Styela clava: one gene and its partners. The protein of the gene in region 3 purifies or fractionates together with the protein of the main gene of each other region. This does not show direct contact. Links are inferred from orthologs where the notes say so. Each region holds a gene or a part of one and is shown on either strand. Other genes may lie near its edges. The genes, in order: DNA repair protein complementing XP-C cells homolog, poly [ADP-ribose] polymerase 1-like, WD repeat-containing protein 76-like and T-complex protein 1 subunit beta-like.

Evidence for each region.
Region 1: the proteins of WD repeat-containing protein 76-like (region 3) and DNA repair protein complementing XP-C cells homolog purify together in Homo sapiens (affinity purification with mass spectrometry; 3 studies listed by BioGRID and IntAct, with this or other methods). This does not show direct contact. The link is inferred for Styela clava from reciprocal best matches to the Homo sapiens genes WDR76 and XPC.
Region 2: the proteins of WD repeat-containing protein 76-like (region 3) and poly [ADP-ribose] polymerase 1-like purify together in Homo sapiens (affinity purification with mass spectrometry; 4 studies listed by BioGRID and IntAct, with this or other methods). This does not show direct contact. The link is inferred for Styela clava from reciprocal best matches to the Homo sapiens genes WDR76 and PARP1.
Region 4: the proteins of WD repeat-containing protein 76-like (region 3) and T-complex protein 1 subunit beta-like purify together in Homo sapiens (affinity purification with mass spectrometry; 4 studies listed by BioGRID and IntAct, with this or other methods). This does not show direct contact. The link is inferred for Styela clava from reciprocal best matches to the Homo sapiens genes WDR76 and CCT2.

The regions. Positions count from the first base shown.
Region 1 is NC_135258.1:14,477,866-14,485,394, reverse strand, and holds the start of DNA repair protein complementing XP-C cells homolog, read right to left. Parts: upstream 3,001-7,529; 5' UTR 2,905-3,000; coding exon 2,794-2,904; intron 2,325-2,793; coding exon 2,196-2,324; intron 1,525-2,195; coding exon 1,379-1,524; intron 1,106-1,378; coding exon 955-1,105; intron 699-954; coding exon 603-698; intron 485-602; coding exon 65-484; coding exon of another isoform or gene 63-64; intron 1-62. Other genes in the region: tRNA (guanine(27)-N(2))-dimethyltransferase-like, read right to left, coding at 3,722-5,089. UniProt on the Homo sapiens protein: Involved in global genome nucleotide excision repair (GG-NER) by acting as damage sensing and DNA-binding factor component of the XPC complex. Has only a low DNA repair activity by itself which is stimulated by RAD23B and RAD23A.
Region 2 is NC_135251.1:21,237,551-21,245,047, forward strand, and holds the start of poly [ADP-ribose] polymerase 1-like, read right to left. Parts: upstream 3,005-7,497; 5' UTR 2,754-3,004; coding exon 2,613-2,753; intron 2,228-2,612; coding exon 2,063-2,227; intron 998-2,062; coding exon 860-997; intron 526-859; coding exon 312-525; intron 83-311; coding exon 1-82. Other genes in the region: multifunctional protein CAD-like, read right to left, coding at 5,481-7,497. UniProt on the Homo sapiens protein: Poly-ADP-ribosyltransferase that mediates poly-ADP-ribosylation of proteins and plays a key role in DNA repair.
Region 3 is NC_135251.1:17,054,067-17,061,811, forward strand, and holds the start of WD repeat-containing protein 76-like, read right to left. Parts: upstream 3,019-7,745; 5' UTR 2,953-3,018; coding exon 2,893-2,952; intron 2,224-2,892; coding exon 2,079-2,223; intron 1,684-2,078; coding exon 1,574-1,683; intron 1,079-1,573; coding exon 925-1,078; intron 34-924; coding exon 1-33. Other genes in the region: uncharacterized protein LOC120336343, read right to left, coding at 4,539-5,807. UniProt on the Homo sapiens protein: Specifically binds 5-hydroxymethylcytosine (5hmC), suggesting that it acts as a specific reader of 5hmC.
Region 4 is NC_135255.1:22,610,288-22,618,143, forward strand, and holds the start of T-complex protein 1 subunit beta-like, read right to left. Parts: upstream 3,004-7,856; 5' UTR 2,943-3,003; coding exon 2,940-2,942; intron 2,240-2,939; coding exon 2,171-2,239; intron 1,409-2,170; coding exon 1,222-1,408; intron 252-1,221; coding exon 175-251; intron 1-174. UniProt on the Homo sapiens protein: Component of the chaperonin-containing T-complex (TRiC), a molecular chaperone complex that assists the folding of actin, tubulin and other proteins upon ATP hydrolysis.

The DNA of each region.
Region 1 (7,529 bases), on a different chromosome or scaffold from region 3:
AAGCAAGACAATCTTGGATAAATATAATTGGCTAGTTACTTCTGAATCGCTGTAAGTAACATACTTTTTGTTTTGATACATTTTCTTTCTTAGTTTTACTTTCTTGGACTGCAGTTGTATCTTTCTTTGATTTTCTCAATTTTTTCGTTACTTCTTTCTTTGCTACAGCTGTCGATACTTCGGTAATTTTTTCTTCAACTTTGTTCAATTTACTTCTCCTTGTTTTTAAAGGAGCAGCATTTTCTTCATCGGAATCTTTTTTAGCTATTTTTCGTTTCCGAGCTTTAACAGGATTGACGGATTCTTCATTGTTAACTTTCACTCCCGCAGTGGATGATCGAGTAACTCGTCGTTTCTGCGGAGAATCATTCGCTCCATCGAGTTGAAGTATCACCTTGCTGTCCTTGTCCATTAAAAGCGGAATATCTTTAGTTTTATTTTTCTTTGATGCGTAAATTTTCGATTTGATCGCAGCAACGCTCTCCTGAAAAAGTATCAAGTAATATCATCAAGCACGGTTGTGATTTTTCTTATTTACAGTCATTTAATATTTTTCATTTTGAACTAATTAGGAGCCTCGAAATTCTTCATAAAATACTCACATCTCGTTTCTCTATTGGTGTTTTCAAAGGAAGAGGCTGTAATGATACCACTAGCCTTGTATTCAATCCCATGGCTCGCAATGCAAGGACAAAAACCTGAGAATAAAAAAACTTGTAAAGTATATCCATGGACATCTATGAAATAGGTGATAGTAACCTGAAAAACTATCTGAAATTTTACTCGCTTATGTGAGATTGCAACCAAATAACAGTATATCTTGGAAGTTGGAATTGAATATTCTTCCCCTCTTCAATTGAAAAGATAGAAATCAATGTGTTCTACCCTAAGCAATTCCATGTTTGTTTATGAATAATGGATATCTATGCAAAAGTCATAAAACTGAAGACTTACCAACACCCAATCCAACTTGAACTTGACTTTTTGTGCTTCCAGAGCTTTTTTCATCTTAGTCTCCAAGAATGGTAATCTGAGCATTCCAAAACCAAGAAGCTTTTCCACCCCATTTTCAGTCTCAAATATTTTTTGCATATCTTGTATAAACCTGAATTAAACACAGATAGTGAAGAAAAAAGAGAAAAAAAGAAGAAATAAGAGTTACATGCACTGGTACCCTGTGCAAAAGTAAATCTGAATTTACTCTCAGTCTAAATGCAATTTGGCGGCAGTGAGACACAAATTCAAATTTTAAAATTAAACATTGAACTTTCAACTCTATAAACTCAACTTAAAACTTTTGAAATGATAATATGGATGAAAAATGAAAAAAATGAACAGCTGAAAAGAATAGATTTTAGCATTACAAAACGATTCAAACCTTGTTAAGAACATTGCAGAGACATGTTTCGGCTTGACATCATGGTACTTCTTGGGAAGTAAAGAATATGTTCTTGATAGGAGTTCTTCATTGTTGCAAATTCGGTTAACACGCATTCCCATTGTTAAGAGACACATAAGATGAACCTATATTTTGATAATTTCAATGAGTCAGTAATCAGTAATGTTTTTTTTCACATACCGAAAATACGAAAGTATACAAAAGTAAGGTAAAATATAAAATAATGTGATGGGAGACGCGATAAACCAGTCACGGTTATCAAACAGCGTCATCTTTGAGGGAATCTCATAAAAAAACAAGTAAAGGAAGTGGAACAATATTTAATGACAGAAATCAGCCATGTCGGTACGATTAAGCAACCTGGTGTTTCCAGTGTCGTTCATGGTGATTCGAGAGAACAACTCCAGGCACCACTGGTGGGGTAACCGTGGTAACCGCAGTAGATGAAATGACAAACGAGCGGGGGCTAGTTTTTGTGTGCCGTATCACATTTGAGTAGACATTCCCAGGAAATATAAAAAAATAGGAACCACTCATATAAGAGGTTTACTAAATATAATCATATTTAGGCTATTCCCTGCTGTGTTATCCTGGTATCAAGAATTCAAATTATCCTGGAAAATTAGTTAAATTGAATGAAATTGAATTTTTAAAGATTGAGCTTCGTCAATCATCCTTTGTCTTTTGAATGATGGGACACTTTAGAAAATTTGTATTGAAATTCAGATCATCATACAAAAATACTTTTTCCATCAGAATGCATCATATTTTCTGAGCTGAAACCAAATTTGTTTACCTTATGCATAACAGTTTGCATTTCTTTGTCAATTCTCTTAGCTGCTTGCCTAATGCATGTTTCAACCATTTCTCGATCCCATTTTTCTCTTTTTAGTTTCTTCTTCACAGCATCTGGAACCAACTCAACCTATAATCAAAAACATATTCAATATCTATGCAAAATTAATTTGTATAATTTGACTGATACTCAATACTCAAAGTAGTTGTTCAAGAATTTGAGATTGAGGGACTATTTTAGGATTTATTATTGATTACTGCAAGGTGATAATATGAGAATATACAAATAAAACACAGGTACATCATATATATATATATATATAAAGTAGAAAAATTTTCATATTAAACATAATTTCTAGTAGGGCCTATACTAGATTACTCAAAGCAAAATTGAGAGCCTCCAACTGAGAGTGGAGAGAATAGTAGTAGAGTTAAAATCTATCTTTATTGATACTCTCAACACTGAAGGGGAAGGACCATATTATAGTGTAAATGACTGCAAGCAACCAATCTAGTGGCCAAAATAACTCAAAAGAAACAAGGACTAAAATACAAGACTAGATAAAACATTTGTATTCAAGATATCAAATAGTAATCACCTCCACATTTGCAGATGGAACAACATCTTTTTCTTCTTCTTCATATTTCTGAGATTCTTCAACTTCTTCCCATTCCTCATCACTACTTTCTGTTGTTGTATCAGGTGACATCTTTACAAAAGCTAACCTAAACTATTCACTATTCTTCTAAACATTTTAAATAAATGGAGCAATTTAATAAAAAGCCCAAAATATTTTCTTCACATTAAGCACTTCTACATGGAACTTCACATTTCAAAATTTACAAGATAATACGGGAAAAGAGACAGTATAAGTAGACTCCTCAAATAATGATACTTTCATTTCCAATAATACTTTATACCAGCGTTTCCCAATCCGAAGGAACTTTGTGCTGTGATTTTGGTCTAGTAAAACTGCTAATATTCTTACTCTAATGCTTATTTATACACACATAATACAAGCTAATGATTCATTACTGATTGAATAAATACAGTAGTTCCAAAATATGCGCGAAAAGAGGAATATAGCGAAAAAGGTTGGAAACCACTGCTTTATACAATTTTATAGTTCAAATTATAAATTGGGTGTTAATTGATGTGTTTTACTAATGTCTAATACCTATGGTAGGATCGTGACAAAATATAGTTCAAATAAAATCTATAACTACAAAACACATTTTGAGAGCTTGAGAAGGTATAATGGAATAAAATCTAAAAACACCCAATTCAGGTAAATATGTAACTATTCAACTCATATCAATGCTCCATAAAAATAAACTACAAAATTCACTGACAAGCGGGCCATTGAGGTAAGGCATTTTGGATCCTGCACGAATTTTTTCACATAAGGTTAAGCAACTACTAGTTTCGGTTCACAGCAAAGATGAAAAATTTTTGTTCTATTGTGCATAAAATGAAATTTTTTTACAGCTTTCATTAAAATCACAAGACAAAAGATGTCAATATTTTCAGTCTGATGTTATGCTGTTAATTACTTTTCTAAATTCTCTGGGAGAGGCAGTAGTCCTAACTCCCCTTGGATCGAACAACGTTCCACAAGCCCGAAATCCAACCGACCGCAACTTTTGAATAGAAGCAAGAATTCTCAAAGGATTTGACCCTTTTTTAGTGTGAGACTCAACAATATAGTAGAAAATCGGACAAGTTTCCGAAGAATATTTTTGAATAATCGACTCCAAACTATCATTTGGTTTCAATCTTTTAGCAGACGGCTCATTAGCATCTTGGCTTTTAGACATTTTTTGAGTTTCTATTGTTTCCTTGTAAAGTTTAATAATTTCAACTTCTTGCTCATCAGAATCAAGACACAAACTTTCCAATGTCATATTTTGCATGACTGGCACAAGTTTATTTTTAATATCAATTTGGGTAAGAGTTTTAGCCATTTGAATCACAAAATTAGTGTCGAATATGGGTCCAATATATGCTGGACCTAACATTACAATCGGTGGTTGTACATTTTCATCTGTGATTCCTCCATCTTTGCAAAAGCAGTCGGTGATATCTGGCATTGGAACATAGTACAATTTTTCATTCAAAACTTGACGATAATGACAAACTCTGCAATGAGCGACTCTTTGTATAAAATCCAATGATTTGTTAGCATGCGTGGCACCTTTTAAAATTCTAACTAAAAGAACAATGGAATTTTCATCCACATAAGATGAAAGTACAGATATTCCACGGTCCCATCTGCTCGCAGAACGAGCTACATTTGCTAAAATGAGCCTTACAGCAAGTTCTTTACCATATTCATGTTTCATTGCTTGCCCATGATAGATTCTTGGCACTCTTTCTGGACATTTATTATATAAAGTGCATAGGTCTGTTGAAACAATACATAATACGCCTCTGTGGCATATAGAGAAACAAGCAGCCTCAAGGTACCTTACACATGTTCCATATGCTTCTAGATATATCATGTTGTATCTTTTATTTGATTCGTGTAGTAAAGAATTCGGATTCCTACATACAATAGATACATTGTTTTCAAGAATGTTATTTTTCAGATTTTTTTCCAAACAATTTTTCATATAAATCTCGTCATGTAAATTGATTGTAACTGAAACATTTTTTCCGAAGTGTTTCGCCCAAATCATTCCTGACATTCCGAGACCTGGAACTGCATCAATACAAGACAAAGCCGTCATTCCAGCTCCTTGAAATTCTTCAATTATTTGTGATAATGCAAGTAAAGAGAATAGACGAGGAGTATGTAATCTTTTAGCAGTGTGCCATTGGTTTCCTAGCTTTGTGAGAAAGTCTTTTGTATATTTCGCAGAAATACCTAATTCAGATAGTGTACATTCAGTCATACCTAGATTTGAGTTGACTATTTTCGATACTACCTTATGATTATATGATTAAAAATCTGATTTAAAAATTGCGAAAGAAAATATTAACAGCTATCCCAAGTGTGGGAGATGGTAACATACTATTTCAGCAACTACGCATTTTTCTTTTTTTCCCATGCTGTTGGAGTATAAGTTTTTTGTGTAAAAGCGTGAATCGATTTCATCTCTTCTGCAATAATGTCATTGACCATCCTTTGCTGCTCAAGACGTGACTTTCCAACAAAGAGTTCCGATACAACAACAACGTTATAACTAGTTCCACACATATTGGGCGACAAATCGTCTATTTCAATATAAGTTGCCTGCAAACCTTTTTGCAATTTCTCTTTAATTATCTCACTTGAAGTCATGATTGCTGATGGCTAGATGCAAGTCACAATTGGGCGAATTAAAAATATAAACATATATAAAAACATGCGTTCATATAATCTAAAGACAATAATATAAGTGATGGATGAATGATTTAAGAGTGAATTTATATTTTTCACAAAGTGATGAAATATTTATGAATACTGGAATATGTGTGAATAATCTAATAATAATCCGAGTAGTGCGCTAGCAGTGAGGTCATGAAATATATTGCACTGTCTGAAATTACGACCCACGGGTCGGATCCTGCCCACTTGTGCCTGCTGAAATTAAAAATAGTTTCTATGAATATAAATTTTCTTATTATCAGCTACCGTACAGGTACAGCATACAGTAATTCCCCACATATTATATCTTAAGTCACTTACCGTACCAGGTTACAGTACTGCAGTACAATAATTTCATTCCCAAACGACATGAAACAGGGAAACGATAACCATCTACTCACTCTCTTGGTACTGTACAAGAAGTTGAGGTATAAATTAGGGTTTTGCATTTATCAAAAAACATCATACCGTACGGTACCGTAAAAGCGCCTAACTTCGGACAGTTCCTAACTTCGGACAAAATTTTTGAACGGCCATATCTTGGCTAAAACGCGCCGTATATTGCTAATTTCAATTATTATAGGTTGCGCTGTTATATCTACATCTATTCTCATCTTTTTTAATGTTGCATAATTATTTTTTTGGTAAAAAAACGGAAATTTTGCCGAAAATTGACTGCCCGGCATTCAACGGCGCAGAGCGTCGCTCCTACTGAAGCTATCATCGTCAAAATACCATCATTCGGTAGAGGGCGACAACAATGTATATAATTTATTTGAGTGATCGCAAGATGTCGTACGAGATTCAAATAAAATCTAAAATTCTGAATTATAAATTCCGTAAGAATATTAAGATTTCACGCAGCGTCAAAAATTACGTCAACCTCACGTAGATTATTTTTCGCTCACTTCCGACACGACGTCACACTGCGTCGCGGAAATGAATTTTGACGCCAGACACAACGGAGCCAATATGACAATTTCCGTTAAGATAAAGACGGCGTTCCAATGTAATATTTTTGTATTTTGTTCGGTCATGTATGAATATATGCCAAAATTACATTAATGAAAATACATGTCACACTTAATCGATGACGTTAAAATCGAACATATAAAACTATGATAATTCCAACGTCCATATGGCACAGTGCACTAACTTAACCATTATTTTATGATTAGTAGTCGAAATGACAGTTATTGAATACGGCCTGGCTGAATTTTTTTCACTCGAAATTAAAAATAAATTTAATCTCCAACAAATAAACGGGACCTACATGTTTACAAGATTAAGTTGAATTTTAAATTAAACTTTACAATCGGATTTACCGTGTGTTTGATATAAATTATCAATTATAAAGATAACCGCGCACGATAAAAAAAAAGCTATCCGTCGAGAATATTAATACTTCAAAGACTTCGATAGAAGCCTGTTAAAATACTTCATTGTGGATTGAAACGGTTTGCATCAGATATATTTACGTATGCATTTTCTGATTAAAATGACTAACGTGTTATTATACTCATCTGAAGTATCGCAAATAACGAACGAAAGATGTAAACATAGGACGACGGAAGTTTCAATTAATGCATTTTGGTCGTGACGTCAATGTTACGTTACGACGACGATCGAACGTCTTATCTTCACGCAACGACGTGATTACGCAATCCGCATCGGAAGCCTCTTTCTCTCTGTGCGTCGCGGTTACGCAGTGAAGAAAATGACTGTCCGAAGTTAGGGCAGTGAAGGATAACGGTCAGATGGCAAGAAATATCGATTATTTCAATAGTAAAAATAGTCCAATTGAACCGAAATTTGCAGGGAATGTAAATTACCGCACGAATGTTTTACCGAGCAATTTTGGCACCTTTTGGACAATAAATGGCCAAGTTATTGACGAAAATATAGTAATTTTGTCCGAAGTTAGGCGCTTTTACGGTAATCTATAACTGGCCCACTGAGAAAAGTGATTGCCGAACCTAGCTGTA
Region 2 (7,497 bases), about 4.2 Mb from region 3:
AGTTTTTTCAATTTGTCAATGTTCTTCCACATCAATATTGACTGACTCTTCATTTTCTTTTTCAATTCCTCTTTAGCAGGATCTGTAAAAATATTTTATGCAATTGTGGAATTGATAACAAATATCTTTCTTGTCAATAAAGAATTTGTCCATATTCAAAGATAGGCTCTATCTTTCCATTCAAAATTGAATATAGGAGGCATTACTAATCCTGAGAATTTGAGTTATTTACAAGGAACCAACATAGATTGACCCGAATAATATGACAAGCCATAATTTTTTGTCCACTATGAAGCAGATTTTTTGTTCACCTGGAGCAGAGGCAGATGAGGCAGCGCTCGCATCTGTTTTTGATTTAGATCGTTTCTCCTTAGGTGCTAATAATTTCCTAATGCTGGCTTTGTCTTCAGCATCTAATCCATTAAAACCTGTTAACATTTCTGCAGTGAAATGTTGCTGCCATCCCATGTCATCTTTCTTTTTGAGAAAGCATCCAACATGATGCCATCTATCTACCAATCCCAGCTGGGTAAAAAAAATATATTTTAAAAATAATATACATGGAAGTTGATGGACTGATTTAAACAACCCCAAAACTAATTATCTGCTAAATGTATAATCAAACATCAGGAAAAAACAGTTTGGCGAAGTGAAATTTTATAAAATTTCCGCTTGTGTAGAAAATTTTCCTCCTTTCCTCAAACAAATAGTAAATTGATTTGTTGTGTATCATGAACAACAGGTAGTATTTTGCCATTTTTCTGTGGCTCCAAGATAAAGAGAAATTCCAGCCAAGCAACTGAATGGTTAACTAATTATAGCACAAATTTAAGCTTGTCAACATATTTAAATATGGAACCTGCGGTTTTTCTGGATGTTTCTCCTTGTGAGATAATCTAATTTCATCCTTTTCAATTTTATTATCACAACCTCGGCAAGTACTTCGACTCGATGTTGCATACTGAACCACAAAATCCTTGAGTGTTTTTGAGATTATCTGATAACATAAGAAGTAAAATGGAAATAATAAACAACAGCGATAACAAATATACTCCAATGTCAGAAATAAATTGCAATATACTGTAGGCCTTTTATTCTCATTGCTGTTATTCTCATTATATAAAGCAGTAGGAAAGGTCCTGTCTGGATTTCATGGCCTTTTTGAAGGAGAAATCGGGCGTGCAATCAGAAATTCCCGCGTGCAAATACGAATTTCGGGCGTGCAATTATAGCTCACGGCGTGCAAAACAACTGCGCCCGCGTGAAACTGACTTCGACCTAAGATACCTTCCAATACATCCGCGTAAAATTACCGGTATTGGATACAAAATATGTTGAATCATAGCAAAAATGGACGTTTGACCTTTGACCCCAAACATTATTTCTATATTATTGTCACTAATTTTGAGAGTGTTTGTGCGACTTTATATACCGGTACTGTTCAGTACATCCGTGTAAAATTATTGTATAAAAAAATACGCTGAATCAAAGCCATAACTGGCCAGCGACGGTGAGGAGGCGATCTTTCTCATTCAACACGATACGGTTTTTTGCTTCGCATTTTTCGGTCATGCCAAATCTTGCAAGCTAGTACTAGTCGACAATTGTGAAGTTGTAATTTTTTGGCATCTTTCTATTACTAGATTATTGATTTAAAAACTATTTAAACCGATTTACATTGGTGAGCAATTGCAAATTTTCGGCGTGCAGAATTGAATTCGCTCGCGTGCATTTTTGTTGAGCGCTAGCGCCCTCGGGCGTGCATCTGCCATGGAATCCAGTCTGGGGAAAGGTATCGCATGTTTGCTTATTTGCCTCAAAAATAATTAAAGGATATAACAGAGACGGGATATATGTTCGAGACCTTACTGACCTAAGACTGATTCATTATAGTAGGACAACAGACATGAAATATACGAAAAAACTTCAGTACAATACACAGGACAAAGAGGTACGGCACAACGACGATATGTACAATAGTCAGTCAATAATAAACCCGAACATAATTTCGGCTACCAATTTTCCATGAATTGTATCATTCTGAATCATGCAATTCAAGTACCTTTGGTCCTTTTTTACTAGTTTTCGCACCACTAGCAAAACCGTCAATTTGAGCCTGTATTTTTTCTTGATCGGGAAATCGTAAACTGTTGAAATTTTTTATTTCTTCAGTATTCGTTGGACGACATTTTCCAAAGAAACACGAATAGTGATACCAATTGGGTTGCTGAAACAAAATTTTTATGTAATTTAATAAATTAACCTCAAATTCAAGCCAATACTGCAATAAAGTATTTTAGATAGCCTACATTGATTACATTCAGTCAATATTATGTTTTAAAGATAAAACAAAGAATTGACCAAGACCTGTAGTTGGCATGACAGGGGTAATAGTTTGTTGAATTCCTTCATTCAGTTATTTGGTATTACTCGGATAGAATTTGTCATACAGCAGTACAGCGATACCAGAATACAATATTCCGGTATTCAGTATTAATTCTGGATGTGTAGGCTACTTCGCCTCATTAGCAATGTAGGCTAGTAATTAGATAAACGAATTCGGTAGGTTACAATCTTTTTTCTTACATTCAATTCAGAAAACAAACAGTTACCCTTCCATCATAAAAGGGAGATTGAACCATCAACGCGATTCTGAGAGAATCTTTTGCTATCAAACTTTTGCATCCTTTGCACTGTGATCTGTTGCTTTTTGCATATTCAGCAGCATAGTCGTAATCTTGTTTAACTTCCATATCAAGTACCAAAAACACAGCCTAAACAAACTCCTTTTACAGTATTAGGTATTTCTGCATATGCAGCAATTTGAAGATGCAAAACAATAACACAAACCGGCTGATGTCGGCACGTGTTGACACACTGGTCACGTGTTAAGCGCCTTATTTACATTCCCGCCTCGCGACAACTCACCCTAAGATGATGTTACAAATAAGCGCTCTCAAAATATTCTTTACGCGTGGGCCGAAACGTCTAGTCTTGAACGAACGTTTAACAAAAAATACCCTGGCGACCTAGAGGTGATGCGGCTTCGCAAACGGAATTATTTCCATATCTATCAGAGGAAAAGAAATATGACAAACCGCCCAATAACATGGCAGGCTACGGCAAGCCACTCACTTCAAATCAACGTTGGACGTGGGATAGGTAGTCTAACTAGAGATTCGATTTTAATTCATGGACCTGAAGAGTATAACAAATATGAATCTCGTCTTTCCAGTCAGCTATCCTGACCTACGGTATATACTATGCGTGATTCGTTTCGAAGAGAGTTTCTATTTTGAGCAAATGGAGACGACTAGCGCAAAGGTGGCACATACCCTGTAGATGATTCAAATTTGTATCGAAAAAAATCGCTATTTGTATAGGCTACTCCCAAACGAAAAAGCCACAAAATTATTTCAGTCATCGGGGAATGTACATGAAGTGGCATTGAGCACCAAGCTCTACAGTACACAGTCGGTATCCAAATTTCTGAAATCGAACTTGCGAACAGCATCATCCTTAAAGATAGCCATACTTAAGCTTTCCTAATTTGAATTCATTTGCACTATGCAGTCTAAATACAGCCTTACAAGAAAACGATGATGAAGCGTACATTAGTTCTACACTTCTTTCAGCTATTTGTCCTCACCCGCATATCGATGAGGTTTGAAACTACCAAAGAAATGACAAGAGATGCAGAAAAAAAATTTGATAACAAATTCACACAGTTGGCAAGCATAGAAAAATTGGCAGAAGCAATAGCAGCAGTGGAAAATTTGTAAATATTGCAAAAGCTCTATTGTGGAAGAATTATTTGTAATGAATGCAATATTGGCCTGTGTTGATTCACATTAAGAGTCAGATAGGACCTAATGATAACTTTTCCATGTAATATCAAAACATTCAAACTTATTTCACGTTCATTGGTAAGATATTACCAATATATTGTCTCAATATTATTCACACAATAATAAGAAACCAATACCCTACTACAAAATGCGAATATTTGGTCAAGTCATGAAACAAGGTATTTCACATAATATCACATTTGGGTAACATATTAAGACTTTTTTATTGGCTCATTAATTTTCACCATCATGTTGATGAGTATTCAAAAAAAATGGTTCAAAAAACAAAATTTTCTTACACAAAATTTCTATAATACCAGTTTAGTCCATTCAATTGGATACTAAACTAATCCAAAGGCTGACTAGGACCAGAATTTGTGATTTGCACTAATGTTTTCATGTCATGTTATCAGCTTTTCTCAGCCAGGTGGTAGATCCTAATCAGATTTTTGCTTGGATATCATGTGCTTTCAATTGAAATTAATAACAAATTTGACATTTTGTTGCATCACCATTTTCTACTTTTAATCCTACCAATAATGTACTACTTGAATCAAAACAATCATTACGGTTTTGCTGCCTGCCCTTGGGAGAAAAATTTAAACACAAAGCAGCATACTGAAATGGAAATTTCTGACACTATTTTGGTCATGGCAGGTGGAAAAAATTGAAATATGAGAAAAGTTTTGGACATGGCAATTCATTATTTGATGCAAAAGCAATATTACACTTTTAAACATAATGTAATGAAATATTAAGTACCATATGGTGCGAGGCAGCATTTGCTTTCATTATTTCCGTTGATGATTTGATTTCGTCCAATTATCATTCAGGTAAATATTTTGAAATAATGGGAGTAAAGGATGGTAATGATATGATTGGGGAACAAATTCGCAGAGATGATATATTATCAAATTATCTTTATTTAATGATTACACTTGAACTAGGCACACAGTTTTAGTATTTTTGGTCGTCATGAAATTTCAAATTCGAGGGTAGACTGTTTACACAAAGGCCGTAATAAAAGAAGTAAAGTTCAAGGGTTCACACATTTAGTTTGTCTTTACAAAAACAGATACTAATATTTTGTGGTTGGAATGTATTTTTTGGCCACAGCCTAAATCAAATTTCAGTTTTGGTAATTATTGTTGCCATTTATGACATTCAGTAGATACATATAGTTAACTTTTTGGATGCTCTACCGCATTTAGATTAGCGGTTACAATGTATACACTAAAAAAGATATAACACTTGTGTAATTTCCACAGAAAATCAATGTCAAAATATGGCAATTATTTTGTTCCATTGCAGAAGACTTGAAAATGGCAGAAATACACAAACTAGGTCAAAATGATCATAACCATGTAAAAAGTGAAGAGTTATAAAATTCCGCATAAGAAACACAAACTAAGATGAAATATCATATGACATTATCATGACTGCCTTCGAGTATGATTGATCAAAAAATGGTTACATTAGATTTCAAATTTGTTCACAATCAATCTTTTTAATGATTATCACAACTCATCTTACAAATTCAAACATTAGCAACAAAAAGACATAATATCTACAGAAAAAAGCAAGGGAAGAGACACAATGATAAAAATGTCAGGTTTATCAAAAGATTTACAATCAATACTTTCCAAGAACCATGCACAACAATGCCATTCTGATATACAGTCCACACTCGGCCTGGCGGAAGTAAGCAGCTCTAGGATCACTGTCAACAGATTCTTTGATCTCACCAAGTCTTGGTAGTGGGTGCATGACCACCATGTTTTGCTTAGCTTTTGTCATCAAATGTGGAGTGAGCACAAATTTTCCGACTGCTTTTTCATATGCTTCGTTCGACTGAAAACGTTCTTTTTGAATCCTAGTCATGTACAGAACATCAGTATCAGGCAAAGCTTCTTCAAGAGACGAATAAACACGTTGTGGAATTCCTCTGGATGTGACGTAGTCGCAAGTGTCTTTAGGCATTTCCAATGATTCTGGAGAAATATAGCGAAGACTGACACGATACAAAGTTAGCAAACGAGCAAGTGAATGAACAGTCCGACCATTCTTCAAATCTCCAACCATGGTTATAGTCATTCCATTGACTGTTCCAAGTTCTTCTCGAATAGTGAAGACATCAAGCAAAGCTTGAGTAGGGTGTTCTCCAACTCCATCTCCCCCGCTGATGACAGGTTTTCTGACGTGCCTTGCAACTCTTTCTACAGCTCCTGGTTCTGGATGGCGCAACACAATGATGTCAGAATAACCAGACATGACTTGCACAGAATCGGTTAAAGATTCACCTTTTAACACAGATGATGACGCTTTGTTCATTGCAATAACGGATCCACCTAAGCGATGCATTGCAGCATGAAAAGAGCACATTGTTCTCGTGCTGGCTTCGTAAAACAAAGATGCCATAACTCGTCCGCTTAGAATGTTTCCGAGATATTTCTCTCTTTGTACCATGTTACGAAGAGCATGAGCCACATTGAATAAATGGTGAAGTTGTTCTTTGGTGAATTGGGAAACCTTCAATACATCAGAACCAACCAAACCATGTTGAGGATGAAGTTTACCTTCCAAATTACCCGATATTCCTCCACTTCCCAATATAGCTCCCCTAAGCACATTTGCATTTTGAGGTGTCATACCTTTGTCACTTTCAATTCTCTTTGTCATCAATAAACCAGAACCTGCATCACCGACTGGTCCAAAATGTGGTATTGGTAGGCCACTAGGTGGTTCTGATACTCTATGTACTTTAGGTGGTAATCCGAGTTGCCCTTCAGAAGTACCGGGCCTGGGGCTAATTTGCTGAGTAGTAAAAGGCATTTCTGGAACAGAAACCTTCAAGGCTGTAGTTTTCGGTACATTTGAAACCACTGGGGGTGGTTGAGTAGTCTTTTTAACATCCATGCCAGAACCTGGACGTGAAAGGACCTTACCATCAATATATGCAACCTCTCCACGTAAGACAACCCTCTTTACGGCACCTCTCACTTTAATACCAGCAAATGGTGTCCATTTAGATCTAGTGAACGGCATCTCAGATGGTATGATCCATTCTTCATTCATGTCTACTTCAACATAGGTATTGGGTTGTGAAGCCAAGTTAAAAATTTTCATTGGATTAGTGTGCAATCTTAAAATTAAGTCTTCAAGGGTTAATCGCCCTTCATTTACTGCATTTAGCAGGAGCGGTAGCATAGTTTCAAGCCCAGGGAATCCAGGTGGTGGCAATGGTTGCTGTCTATCCTTTTCAGAAACTGCATGTGGAGCATGATCCGTCGCGAAACAGTCAATAATGTCCAAATTTTCCCATAACGCATCCTGATCTGCTTTTGTGCCGAGTGATGGACAAACACGACCTCGTCCATGACCTATGGTGTCCAGGTCATCCTCAGTCAGGAATAAGTGGTGTGGTGCGGCCTCGCAAGTAATGGGTAAACCACGATCTTTAGCCAAGCGAAGCATCTGTATTTCTTCTGCGCGAGCAACATGACAAAAATGCACAGGCCTTGTGTACAGTTCCACTAACCATAATACAGCAGCCATTGTTTGCCTTTCAGCATGAACGCAAATCGGAAGATTTTTAGGCCACGCTTCAAAATGCTTTATCCAGTATGTCATGTTATCCATTTTTAGCGTA
Region 3 (7,745 bases):
GTTTGCCTCCTTTCTTTTTTAATATTCCTGCCCCTGTATACCAAGGAAAATATTATAGCAGACATAATGACCCTATAAGTGGACTATGTTTCAATCGAAATCCCCTCTTGAGTTCGCAGTGAATTGGATCTAACAGGGTATTGTATGTTAATGTGGGTTTCACTATCTGCCACAAATATAACACAAATATTCAATATAGTATTGGACAATTATGGTTATATCTGTGAAACTGAGATTTACATTCGAACTTCCAATGTATTTCTAATTTTGAGTATTTAGTTACTACTGTTAAACTGAACTTGATATCATTGTACAATGAAGTTCCATATCCAATTTGTATGCAATGTACACAATGGCACAATGGAAACAATAGTAATTATTTTAATTCATCCTTATGCAGTACAATATACCCAAAATATTAACAAATCATGTACCTGACAACAATATTTATTTAAATGAGTACATAATAAAAATAAAAAATTTTGGATGAGTTATGTTTGAGCAAATTTCTTTCGGCTCTAATGGAATTTGTTATTGTGAGCGATGAGGATGACGTCATCAAAAATTGCGTACTAATCGCGGTTCAGTTTTTGCATTAGTCATGAAGATTGCTGTACCGGTAGTCCACTGTTACAGATTGCATACTTGTACTACTTCATTTTAACCTTCGTGTCCAAATATCTTATTATTGAATGGTCGAGAGACAGAAGAGATGCATGGTTTGGGTAACGTCTTCTCACTCAGTGGCACACTCGGGTGTCGGAGCATCAAATTTCTGTTGGAGTACCGCAGTATTTTTGACTAGAATATTTTGGTCAACTACCAAATCGTTCAGGTATCGAGTCGTTTGACTACCAAGGTATCACTGTATTCGAGACCTTTTGCATAGAATAGAGGATGTTTGAGATGAAATTTAAAGCATACTTTGTTTTGTGGCAGATTTCTCTGTTTTAGTAATCTGTTTTTCTCTGATCATTGCATTTCGAATTTCCTTTGTTGATTCCACAATTGCTAATTTCTTCAACATTTCTTGCTTTGTTTCCATGATTCGATTTTTTCTCTTCATATACTTTTCCATCTAATAAAATACCTACTCAATTAATGGAAATTACATTTTTTATATTATGTACATATATGCCATTTGCTCTGAACAAGGCTCAGCACAAGTAGACACCGCGAAGTAAGGAGCTACTATAGTTTGGAAAGACCAAAATCATTTGAGCTCTGAATCACCTACAAATGAGATGGTGAGAATGGTATTTCAACCTGCGATGCTATTATAGTCAATTACAATGCTTTAACCTCTAGGCCACCGCACCACAAAATGGAAAAATGAGAATTTTCAAACTTAATCTCAAGAGCAACTTTATATATAGTACTTTTCAAGTTAGAAACAATAATTTGAATACATTCACAGATTTTCATTATGAATAGGGTCTGCTACAATATCAGATATTCTATGATGCATTTGTAAATCTTTTCGCCTTTGTAAAACTCAAATTCATCAATAGATAGTATTTATCTTCTACATTTGATAAATGAATATTCAAAATTTTTATTTCAGAACTCCTACCCTTGTATCTTCATCTTCATCACTGGTGTTAATTGAATCAGAAGAATCCGATAGAATATCTTCAATGTCCATTTCCATATTTTCCTTATTGCTCTCATTGGCAGATGTACCTAAGATATAGAAGTAACGAAGAGTTCAAATAGATTGTTTCTTGAATTGTGACTTGGTCTCTAACAGAGCTTAACAATGTTGCAGATACCATCAAGCTATCAGACCATTCATCATTTTAATACTTAGGAGGGTAATTGATATTTACAAAGATCAATAGACACTTAGACAGTAGTAAAGATTTTTTGAAAAAAATGTCAGCACTTCAACAGTTCGAACAATATTACCGTACTTTGGGCCTCATCTTGTGTATTCTGAAGGTTATTGAGTAGTATGACAGCAGACATTGTTTGCTTCAATATTTTTTACCAAAATGTTGATCAGTACTTGATATTTGTAAATATTAGTAGTGCAAGGTTTAAAAAAAAAAATAAATCAAAAGTTTAGACAATATTACTTATTTCTTCATCTTGTGAAAGTTCATCTAATCGTCTGACAGCAGATATTGATTGTTTTGGTATTCCTTTGCCAAACTGTGAATTATTTCCAATTGGTGTAACATCAATTGAACATTCGATAGTTGGTTTTTTCAGAGGTGTTTTCTGAATGAATCAAAATTTTGTGTTTATTTCATATTGAACACTAGAAATTACAAAACGTGAATATCTAGAAAGTTCAAAACATTAAAAGTCTTTTACATTCTTAAATAATTTGCTTTAAATAATCTAGAGAAAGGGTATTGAAAATATGAACGCAGAAATATTATATGATAAACATATATGTAATATTTTGAACCAGGGTTCAGGGAAAATGTTCCTGATGATTATTGAATGAAGCATACTTCAAAGGTTAATTATATTCCTCCTGTATTAGCATCCTATCAATGTGAGCATCAAACTCCTCATTACAGACCAGGACTAGTCTGATATGTTTTTACTGACGTTGGAGTCAGAATTTCAATATATTACTGATGATAATAAGATTCAAAACATTTACCGGTAACTGAAGATCAAAGTCAAAAAGTACCTAGTTGACATTTTCAAAAGCCATTAAAAAAGGGCTTGCATTGTTGCATATGCCAAGTTTTTGGTATCATAACTAGGTCTTATCCAGGTTCAGCACTAGAGTTAATATTTCCTTCAATATTTGGTCGAGGGACAAGACAAAATTTTTGTCTGAAGTCATTTTTTTTTAAAATGGCTCAAAGTCATTGTTTGGATTTGCATCCAAAATTGTTCGACTTCACAACTGTCTTACGCACACATACTTACATGTTTCGTAGTGTTACCAGTGAGTTCCAAACGCTTTGATCTTAGTCGCATTGTTGACATGTTGCCCGACGAACATCAAAACAATCTTACATAAGTTTAACTATGACCTACAAAAAATCAATAAACAATAGCAGCAAAAAAGTAAAAAATGTGTTACAAAAACTCAATTCTGGCTAAGAATGAATCTTATGATTTTCATTGAATATGAGTATCCTAGTTTGTAAAACCAAAATGATTAAGCACTTTGAATAAATAAATAAGAATTGAAATACAGTAATATTGATCACTTATAATAACATACACCTCATATTATGAGAATGTTGTATGTTAAAGTTAGATAGTAAAATTATAATAGGCATATATTGTTAAGTAAATGTTGTCCAATACATGTCATGTTTGAAAAAACCTACTCAAAACTAAATATAATTCCATGTATTCGAAAACCACTTCTTTTTTGTTATATAAAGGTATCGTTCTTGATCTAGATTTAAACAAACTGATGTAAAAAAAACTTTTCGAGTCTGTTTAAGAGCAGCCATTATGGTTTAATTTCAATTAAAACTTAGTTTTCTATGGAAATATTCCAAAATTATTTCCAATATTAATATTCCAATATTCATAATAGAAATAAAATGTTAGAACAATTACAGTAAGTTATAATATAGCAATGCCATCAAATATCATATAACATAGTTTGAATGAAAATGGAGGCCAAAAAATTTATTACCCTACTACTATCTCAATTATTAACTGAGAAATTTGAATAACACCTACCGGTATTACATTGGTAAAGACTAATATTTACAGTGCAGTAAATTTTGAGATAAACTCGTTTGGATTGATTTCTTAGTTTTTTTTCATGACGGATATTTATATTCCTTCCAATCAAGCAAGGCTCTGTACAAGAAGCCCCGGTGGGTGAGGAGGTATTATAGTTTGGAAGGACCAGAACAATATAGTACACTCTGGGTGAGATAGGATTCAATAAAATTGATTTTAGACTAAAAATTGATCGGCAAAGGCACAAATATATTTTTTCGAGAAAAATTTTTTTATACAATTTTTAAAATCAGGCATTTAATGCATTGATTTTGCAAAATTGCATGCATAAAATGCATATAAAATATCTGATTTATCTTGAACATCACTAAATGTACTACCTACTTTTTACCAAATAGTATCGCTTTCATTCATGTATCAAAAGTCAGGTACATAATCATGGTATTTGAGAGAAATTTTTCGTTGTTTTATAATTCAAACTCAAACACTACTAGAATATTCTAGGAATTGAGGAACAGAATGTTTTTATTGACATAATAACAAATGATAAATGTTTTATTGAGGTTACACATTTCTATTAACTTGGTAGAAGCATAATTTAGACTAGATATATGAAAATTTTAATGAGCATCCTTCAACTTGTATATCAAGTAAAAATAACAGTAATCAATCGTGGTTGTTGCATGTTGTGCTTGAAAACATTCTTTAAACAAAGACCAATATAAATTCTTTGAACTTTGAAGCCTATTTTTCATCGATAGTCACTCCGAGTACAATCACATTCACAACCCCATATAAATTTTCTTTTTCCATTGAAATTTATCATTTATTTTGTGCAAAATACAAGATCAATACTACAATCATCATCAACCGTGCCTTATATCTTCCATGTAATCAGCATGAGGAATCTCTGATACTGTTCGATCCTCTGTCAAATCCAGGCTTTCGTCTTTTTCACTACTTTGAAGTAAATCATCTCCCATGTCTTGAATATCTTCAGAAATGCTTTGTTCACTGTTGAAGTCATCTTCATATTGTTGATGACTTGAAGGTTCATCTGTTTTTTGTTTCTTGTTTGGCCAAACATCACTTGTTCTGCTGGATTCTGGACTCATAGCTGGAGTATCTGTGTAACCCTCAGGTAAATCACCTCTCCCCCGAGTACCATCTATATTTAAATCAATAGGATCCCTTTTTCTAGATTGTAAATCTAAATCATTATCATATCTCACATCCATACTATTGCTGCCATCGTGTGGTGCCATATTGGTTGGCATTAAATAGGCTGAAGGTAAACCGCCAGAATCATGATCAGCACCGGAGGTTCTCGCTGGTTCAGGATCAGACATAGGAATTGGTGAAGATGGTACTTGATGAAAAGATGGCTGCTTCATATAGAATTCTTCAGACGATGATCTTTTTTCAGGTGATTTTACTCTAGTAGGTAAAGAATTTGGTCTTATTTGATTACCGACCATTGTAATTGAGCTACACATTTCATATAATTTTTGAAACACACTCATGAAACCATCAAAAGTCACATTTGAAGAATATTTATTCCTGAATTCCTCAGCCACAAATTTTTCCAAAATAGAAGGATGAAAAAGTGGGCAAGCAAGACTGACAACTGATGTGACGTCTTTCTGGCTAATTAAACCCGAATGATCAGGATCAAAAGTATCAAATTTTGTTCTAAGAAACTGTATCTGATGATTGTCAAGTCCCTGTGGTGTCGATGATTTTTTCTCTTTTAAATTGTTCACCATTTGTGCTAGCAATGGTTCTCTATCCACGCTTGGTCCCAAATGTAAAACATCACGAACTTTATTTTCATCTGGGATTAAATCTTTTGAAATATTTGTCTCTGGTTCAAAGACTGCACTTGTGTAATCAAGATGAAAATATTCTAAAAATTGATTAATTATACCAATACATGCTTTTCCGTCATCGTTTAGTACAAATTTTTGAAGATTTGTATTTTTCAAAGGATTTGGAGTCTTATTTTGTTCTTGTGCCTCTAAAGCTAAAAATATACTTGCTCGTAATTCAGCTTTGATTTTACCAAGAACACCGTTTTTATCCAATGTTTGCACAAGTAAATCACGTAATTCAGTGTCTTCATCAGCTGCTGACATTATATATTTAAATGTATCCTTAAAATATAAAACTGAAATTTGAAAGAAAAAATCATATTTCTGTATTTATAATAAGAAATTCTTGGCTGATGAATTGGATATTTGAATATTTATATCAAATAAAGGTTAATAATGCCTTAAATATTGCGAAGACAGCTGAGGACCAGAGCTGTGATGCTTTGACAAAATAGAGCCAAATATACCATAAAACAGAGTGATCAGAAATTTTAAACAATGGCAGATCGTAACATGCTTGTCTCGATAATAATTTGAATCAATTGCGCTTTTTGCCAAAAACTCTCGAATGCTACTGTAAAATTTTTTCCCTTGGGGAATTGGAGTATTTTTTACAAGGAATCCAGTAGTTACATTTTTAGATTGAGCTTCCTTTTAGTTTATTGCGCAATGCCGCTTTGCCGATATGGAGACTGGCTTGTATAGGAGGGCGTTGTATTCACTGCTATAATCAGATAATTTATGTCTTTTAATGTGGGGGTTATTCCTGACAGGCGGCAAACAATTTGCTCGATGTTGAATGAGTACAGTGTGCTATACTGTATCGAAGAAATCACAGAATCAAGTGGACATTTCTAAATTTAACAGTAAATGGTAGACTACTATGATAGACTAATTTGATTGATTAATAATTGCTAAACTGTTTTAGGTTTCCTAGTTTGGTTTACCTGTTTACCGACAACTTGAATACCAGAATATTGGATTAAGTGCAGAAGCTTGGAAGTGTGCAAGACAGACAGACAGATATCATAAGGGTGATTAAAGCACCTTTGTGTGTATGCTATGTCTGTACACATATAATGAGCACCTTTTCAAACAATATCCGAGGTGAGCGTAAATTACAGAATTCTGGAATTAGGCACTACAGCACTGGTCAGCTGGTAGTTTAGTTACAGAGTTACATAAAATATAAATACTGAAATAGGTCTAGCCTACCGACAGAAAGATAAATGAATGAAACAAATTAATAATTCGGATGGTAAAATATGAATCATTGAGAAAATCCTGTTATACATTATAGACTATTTTTTATTTTTTTAAGGTTTCACATTGTGGATTCAAAACAGTTTTATAAAAATAAATAAATGATGAAAAATTATAGTCACGTATAATATAATAAACAAGTAGGCTAGTCTATATTCATAAACATCATATAGTAGTTAGTACCGGTAATTCATATCTGTATATTGTTCCATTCAGCCATTGTTGATTCCAGATAAAGTTCACCATGTTTAACAGTAAATAAACATTATTTTACATGTTTTTTAATTATTGTTAGCAGGAAAAGAAAAATTTATACAATTATTCATAGGTTCTTGCAGATTATGATAAGTTCATAATCTTATATAGTCTAACTAGGTTTTTGTCTAAATTGTTCCATATTTCTCCTTACTGAAATGGATTTTCTAATTCTTGCTATGACATTATTTACACTTGGATTAACATTAACATCCTGTTATACTTAACTATATATTCCAGAAATAAATTTATTGCTGTAATCTAATGATAATCCAAAACAAATCCATACCATAAACCTGTAAACCAAAAAGTTGAATGCAGTGAAGTGCTGAGATCAGAAAAATGGCGGGATTTCAATCAAATGTGAACAACCGTAATTGTGGTGCACAGAGTCCGATTTTGTTCACCCGCAATAACCATTGCGAATAATTCTATACTAGACATTTATTTTTCAACATTGATGTGTTCATTTTAAATATTCATTTATTCTTTTTCAATTTATTATCCTAGTATTTACTATATACAGATGCAAATAAAGTTTTAAATATTGATTTACCTTGAGAAAATATCGCAAGACTCATTACACATATTTTGAAACAGTCATATACATATCTGGAGGCTGGAGCAGATGACATGTTGCATTCATTTAGGCATAGACTGGCTGATTGGCCTGAATGTAAGAAA
Region 4 (7,856 bases), on a different chromosome or scaffold from region 3:
TGGCCACACCCTTAAATCAGACATCTTAATGTTGGTCCTGAGTTCCTTGCAGATCTGGCAATTCTGTGCTGCCTTCAATGCTGAACAGAGTACTGAAGGCATATACAAATAGCACAATCGAACACCTTGCTTGGCCTCTCACAGATGAGTGACCCCTACTACAATAGCACTTACTCTTAATAACTCAGAAGCAAGCACAGTAACTGACGTTGTTCCATCTCCTACTTCATCATCTTGAACTTTGGACATATCTGGGAATTAGAAAATTAAATTTTTTTATTTAAATGATGAAGCAATAGCAATTAAGTTCGTTTCGACGCAATGAAGGTTTAGGAGCAGTGCTATCAATCACACTAAAACCTTATGTACAAACTGCTGATTTATAGCATAATCCTTGTTTGAAGATCGAGAGGTGTTAAATTTAATGCAAAGATTGAAATCTAGAATATAATTTGCATATGCTCGGTATCAAAACCTATAGTAGAGCCACTCAGCTCAAACAGAGTAGCTGAATCGAATTATTGAAAACGCGCCGTTGCATATCTGATTATCGTTATGCGAGATCAGATTCCACGTTGTAAGAGATATTTATTTGAGAGGGTTCTTGGACTCCTTACATTCGTATGGTGGTTCAATGACAACCGATCAATTACAGCTTCCATCACCATAAAGTCAATTACTGTGAGTCAAACAATAATATACTCGTATTCCATACCCGGCACGGACTGGTAAACAAACAAGAATATCGGTCGGAGACCGAAGACTTATCGATCGAAACTGCGATTTCGATTCATGACTATAGTGACACCGCGTGTCCCATCACTAATTAATTATTAACTCGCTAATTATACGACATAATTCATCCAAAATTAATAGGCTTCTGGTCCGAGATATGATGAATGCACATGCAAAATTTGGAGCAGATTCAACCACGCCTTCGTGAAATATCGCGTGCATCTAACAGACAAACAGACAGACAAATACTTATCAACATACTTACTTAAGTAATGAGAGGCTGAGTTTTATTGTATAATGAGATAACCGAACATGGCGATATTTCTATGTGCAGGTTCTTAGGTTTGATTCTTTTGTGGATGTTCATGTAAGAGGGGACACTATACTGAACAAGGTAGCAGGAAAATAGGTTGCCAGGTAATTAATAGGCAGTTTTATCGGCTTTGGCTATCCCCAGTATAAATACAAAAATCCATCCGAACTTACCAACTAAGACTTTAGCAGCAGGATTATCAACTCCGACAGCTTTCAATATTGTTGCTCCATCGTTTGTAACAGTGATGCCAGGTTCCAATCCTTCACGTCCAGCGCTCATCAATATTTTATCCATTCCCTTTGGACCTAGCGTTGATTTCACGAGATCACCGATAGCAATTGCTCCAACAAATGAAGACTAAAAATTTAAATATGATTGCTGATTTTGAAAAATTCTCTCAAATCGAGGTGGATTCACACAGAAGTAAACAATACTCAACTTCGAGCAAAAATATGAATGGCAACTGAAATACCATGGGTAACCGAAACCACAAAGTAAGAAAGACGAGCCATTTCTTTGAAAAGAATTTGCTCAAATCAAGGTCACACTCACTCATACAGAATTAAAAGAAACTCATCTATGATTGAAGTTATGGTCGTTATGAAGTTACTGAATTGCCAAGAGCTAGCGAAACTATGGATTTATGGCTCATAAGTAAAGGAGACTCATCTTTGAGTCAAATTAAGAGCGACCGGCGAAATACTAAAAGTTACTGAAAGATTCATGATGGTGTATTCCAAGCCTGAGACTTGAAGCAGTTTCAAAATAACCAAGAAATACCATTGAGATAGACAGTTCCAACAAATGAAGACTAAAAATTTAAAGATGATCGCTGATTCCATAATTTAAGATTCAAATTAAGAGCGACTGTTGAAATACCGAAAGTTACTGAAACTATATCAGAATATAGATTCATGATGGTGCATTACATGAGCGAGCAGTTTCAAAATGATCAAGAAACAGACCTGAGGTAGAAAATTTTACTTAACTGAAGCTCGTGGGATAAAACCTTAAATTAATTTGGCTTAGACAAATTATGAAAAAATTCCTACCATAAAGGAAAATTGATTCAAAAATAATATTTGAAACTGCATATAACTGAATATTTCTTATACTCACCAATCTTGCGGTTTCTGCCTTTTCTTCATCTGCTCCAGCATTATAAATTGAGATTGGGCTTAAGGACATCTGAAACAGTAAAAATGAATTGGGTCATGCAAGGTAGAATACATGAATACAATTTTCCATATATATCTAACGTCTCATTACGTAATTTTGGGCGTTTGCGTAATATTAAAGGTGTGGTCCACTTTAGCAATTTTATTGTCAATCCAGTACGGCACACTACAAATCGGGTGACATTGTCCCGTTTCAGAGAAACCCATTTACAAATGATTAGACACCCCTCTTTTGGGAGACGTCAGGACATTGTTGTCCCTCAATATCGGTAATAATACAGTATAATGAAGTTGCGCAAAATACTACAAAGAAGCGCAATCTAATAACTAACTCATCATTGAATTCCTTGGGGAAAAAATAATCCGATTTACCGAAAGAAAAAATATTTTACCGTAGCATTCGAGATTTTTTAGTTAAAAACGGCAATTTTGATCATGTGACGACCGCGATTAATTTAGATTATTATTGAGACAAGCATGGTGTGATATGACGCATCTGACGTGGTCCCAGGTGCCCCTCGTTTGTGAGACACATAGAGTGTTTGTTTTATTGAGCCAAATGGAGGGAAATTCCTGGAATTTGGATAGTGTGCTGTACTGTAATCAGACTTATCTGATGACCGATAGGTAGTAATGTCATTACAACTATTTTTCAAATTCAATGATTCCGTGTCCAGGTATTACAGTATTATTAGTATCTACGTACTCACCATTTTGAAAGATATTTGTTTGAGATCACAGTTTGTAAATAAATTAGATTATGAATCTAAAAATGAAGACATAAATATGGAAATACATGATATATCGAAATTTTATAGAATACTTTCTCTAAAAAATAAAATTGAATACTATCTTAAGAGGATAAAAATATAGCTGTTTAAAAACAGCCAGTCAAATACAGAAATGTTTTAAATGAGATGGTGCTAAATTTGAGAAGCTCTGATAGAAAATATAAAACAGTAGTACAGTCTGACAGTCGTACAGTAGTAGGAAAGAGTTAATTTTATGCATCTTGCAAAACAAAACATATGTTACCGATATTGTTTCAAATGCATGAACTATCGTGTATCGGTACTACCGTAACTACACAACTAACAGAGTCAAAAAGTAAAAGTCTGGCGAATGGATTGCAGAATTAGGTGCGCCATATACAGGGTGTCCAAAAGTTAGTATACACTTTTAATTTGCTCTTCAGGTACTCATAATAGCGCATTCATTTTTTAAGGAAACATGGTAATGGTATGGATCAGTCTGTAAGTAGTAAAATTTATGTATTCGGTATTGTTTGCATTTTTGTATGTATGTATGTATGTTTATTAGTCTCGTAGTAGTAAGCAGTATAAAAAATTGACAATATTAATATTGGAGACGCAACGCATGCACAAGACCGTACTGGCCTAAAACACAAATGTGCGACATGCGCTCCTTTTCATCAACCAGTCACCCCACAGAATGACAAGGAGATTAACCCAAGAAATGAGATGCAAAATTGCTGTTAGCAAGAAGCATATAAATCAGTAAGGCAAACTCAGCGCCTCTTTAACAGAGAATTTGGAACCTCAATCTCCAAATGCAGAAATGCATCAACCAACGGAACTTACAATAGTTAGCACAGGTATCGTATAGCTAGAAACAAAACAGTCCTGGTATGTAACCTAATAAGCTTTAAAATTTCAACAACCAACAAACACAACTTGTATACACCAGACTAGCCTGTGAAAAACAAAAACAGAAGGTCGTTCGAAAACGCCCAACCGCCATTACAGCGTTACGGTTACTAAGATCGCCAGTCGAGAACATTCGGCGAGGGGCCCATGCGTCGATGAGAAAGAAGTGACCGGAGCATTTGTTCAAATAATAAAACTCGGAAGCTAAATTCTCAAAAATTATCATAGTGATAGCTACTATGAATATTGTAACTCCTTAAATACTAGAATTATTAATTTTAAAATACCTAATTTAAAAATATTACGTTGAAAGTATATTTCAAAATTTGCTCATACACTCGAGTATGCATAAACAGACTCCTAACAACTATATTATATACTCCAGTTCCTATTTCAAGCGGTTTTATAACGACTGGTCATTGAAAGTTTCACCCGGTTTCACAGCGCTTCTTCCCAATTTTTATTTTTAACAAAACGCAGAAATATTTGCGCAGCGTATGAACAGTATAATTAAGATTCAAATTGTGTAATACGAGAATGCGATACCATAATAATAATAATGCAACGTCAGACACCTTAATTTTCCATGCTTTCAGATGCTGGCTCGGCGATATGGCGCATCGTGGTGAGCGTGAGAAACACGCTGGCCATCGCGCCCCTGATTACCAAAAGTGGGCTCGCATCTTATAGGAAAATAATTATGTGCGATTGCTGGACTACTCGCCGCTGCAGTGTGGTTCTCGTAACCGCTGGCCCGATACGACTTCCTAAACCATCAAGTCCTTGCATCTACACTAATTCCACACCCAATCGGACGAGACGCCGTAGCTTGTCATATGATTAAACCGTATGGATATATTTTAATTGGAGTGTGTGCAAAAGAGGGAATATATCAGTCCAAACAATTGAGATGAACTAGGGTTACAATAGACCATGGACCTGAACCACGCTTCGACGGAGATCGTGTGCCAAGCAATCTTCTCGTACATAATTATCCAACACAGCAGGCGAACCCAAGCGGAGTAATCAGAGGGATAGGATTTACATATTTGTTCAGGGGAAAGAAATGCCGAAAAGACAGTTTAATTATATGGCAAACCACGGCATCTCGTCCGGTTACCAGTCCATTTCGGATATGGGATTAGTTAGCCAGTTATTTGTTTTCGGAAACACGGACAGCATTATGCTATGCGATTTTTCACAACGATAACAACAATCAATCCAATCCCACCGATGAAAATAACAATAATTTGTAGAAAAGAAAAATTAACCACGGATTCGCTTCGTATAATAGGCATGCAGTCTAGAGCAGTGGTTCCCGAACCGCGGCCACGGGCCAATTACGGCCCGCATAACGGTCAATATCGCTCGCCAAACTTTATGATTCAACACTTTATGATTTTTTTGCGTTTTAGATACCGCCAAATGTTACGTCATTGTCACAGTTCGATCAGTAGTATAATCGAAACAATTCAATTATACCGGTATCGTAAATATTTTTATCGGAACCGGTATCATCACCTTGAGGGCGCTCCCCTCTCCTGACCCGCGAATATCCTTTCGCTTCCAATTTTGGTCACCGGTTAATCAATCGGGAGTAGGGGTGCTTATTGGCCCTAATTGCTTTGTTGCTATCTGAATGGTAGGGTATCCTCAGAGCGTCGATCGAAAGATTAACTGCATGACGTTAGAATTCAACGTTTTTAAAAAGTCCTGGAGCCCAAATTTCGGACTGAAACTAGTGGATGCAACTAATTTGAAATTTCGAACTGAAACTAGTAACAGTTGTGCCGATGCCACAGTTTTGATGGTGCCAATTCAATTTTGTTACCAATTTTGTTCTGTCGGGAGCCAAAGTTGATGTTGAATATTTCTGATTCAAATTTGTAAGATGGAATGAGAATTTCGTTACAACTGTTGCAAGGAGGCATGTACTTCGATTTCGACTCTTTTCTTTGACGTCTCTTCTTCCCAAGAGATACCCTCTCTTGATTAAAATTTAGGTATACGTGAAAGCAGTCAGTTTGATGAAATACAGTGACGTCAGAATCAATAAATTTCAATGAACATATGACGTCATAGGCAATACGACGAGTTCGCGATTGACGGCGATACACTGTGATGTGTTAACGGTATTCACGCCATATTAAGTTAACTTGTCCTAGTACAACTCAGTCACAGTGTACATAAGGTATAGAAGTAGGTCACGCAGAGGTAAAGCACTGGAATTTCAAGATCAAATCTATGCCAAAGTAGATATAAAGCTTCAATCAGGTTGGGATTTTCATACTTGTCCCGGGGAAAAAAGAAAGGCCTACAAGATGGCTTACGCGTGTGTCTCACACGTTCTCAAAGTGATCCATAAATAGTACCAGGGCTCCGCGGGATAAACCCAGGGCTCCGCGAGATATTCGTTTACCTGTAACTGTCCAAAGAAGCTATAAATACGTCCGAGTCATTAAATAACGTAGGCCTAAGTTTAATATACACAAAAACATTCATCGGTAAGTAACAATGTTTTTTTTAAAATTTATTGCGGTGTAAATGATACTCACCTCTTCACGGGCTCCAGAATACCAAAAGTCCGGGTCTCGCACGGGTTTAGTTGGCAAGCTATTTGTTTCAGATGCATGGACTTAATGATGGGGAGGCAGTAACCGGCCAGCGGGTAACTTCAGGCAAATGGTTTGAGACTAAGCATGTAACGTGGAAATCAGAAAATTAATAAGTCACTCCAAAGATTTTCTCGCAAATGGCGCAAACCGACTCACACTATATTGTGAATTCAACAAAATTTATAGTTATGTAATATCAAGCATGAACGACATTAAATTTATTTTATTAAACATGTAATATCTTGAGCCATGTTTGCTCATGCATGCTTCAATTCCCTGCTACATTATACCCGACTTCCTTTATTACGTGTTGTAATTTCCTTTTAGACGTCTTCATGGTAAACGAGTTCGTGGATATTGCGTGAAAATATTGTTAAATTTGACTTCCATTCTGTCGTTAATGAGGTCATTACACCTAAAATGTGTACTTTGAGTTCGCCTTCAACAAATCATAATGATGGGAAGAACATCGATTACGTACGTTATTACAATCCGCTTGTATTAAATTTCGATGGAGTAAACAACTACAATAACGTAAAAATTGTCACACTTTTTTTGCAGCGTTGACTGCTACTTTAGATCGTACAGCCTTTGAGCTGAGAACTGACTAGTTTCTGAGATTGGTAGCGTAATTTGTGATCTTGCATGTATGTATTCGCAAACGGTAGAGTAGGGCCTAACAATTTTCACACAATTTTGCAGAGCGTACTGCTACTTCAGATTACAGCCACTGAGCTGAGAACTGACTACTTTCTGATATTGATCGCGTAATTTGTGCTACAGTCGGTATCTTGTACTCGCATTCATGTATCCGCAAACGCTTAGGTTGGGCGTAAAAAGGATAAAATAATTAGTTAGGTGTTCCTCTCATTGGTCAACCAGAAGAAAGCGTCGTAATTGTTTTATTTAGAAGACGTTTGAAACTTCAGATCGAAATTGTAAATTTTGTGATTATATCAATGAATTCGACTCCTTTTGCAAAAAATCGACCGAAGGCAGGTGTTTTTGTATCATTACTGCGAATAATTCCTCATCGAAGTAGAGGGCAAAGCGTCAATTTTATTGAGTGAAATATTGTACAGGTATTGTTTTTATCCAATGTTTGTTTAAAATTGTATCTGAGGCATTTTTTTTTTGGTGAATAGCTATGATAAACAATGTGTATTGAAGCGCAGGAAGATTCGCGAGCATTGATGTCAAATATAGTGTTTGTTATGTTTGATTTATTTATCTAAATTAATTATGTTGTCATAAATATGTAAACAATACCGTGGAAATAAACAAACAAAAACAATCAGAGAAGATGACAGTTTATCAATGATATAAAATAGTATTATATGCTCTG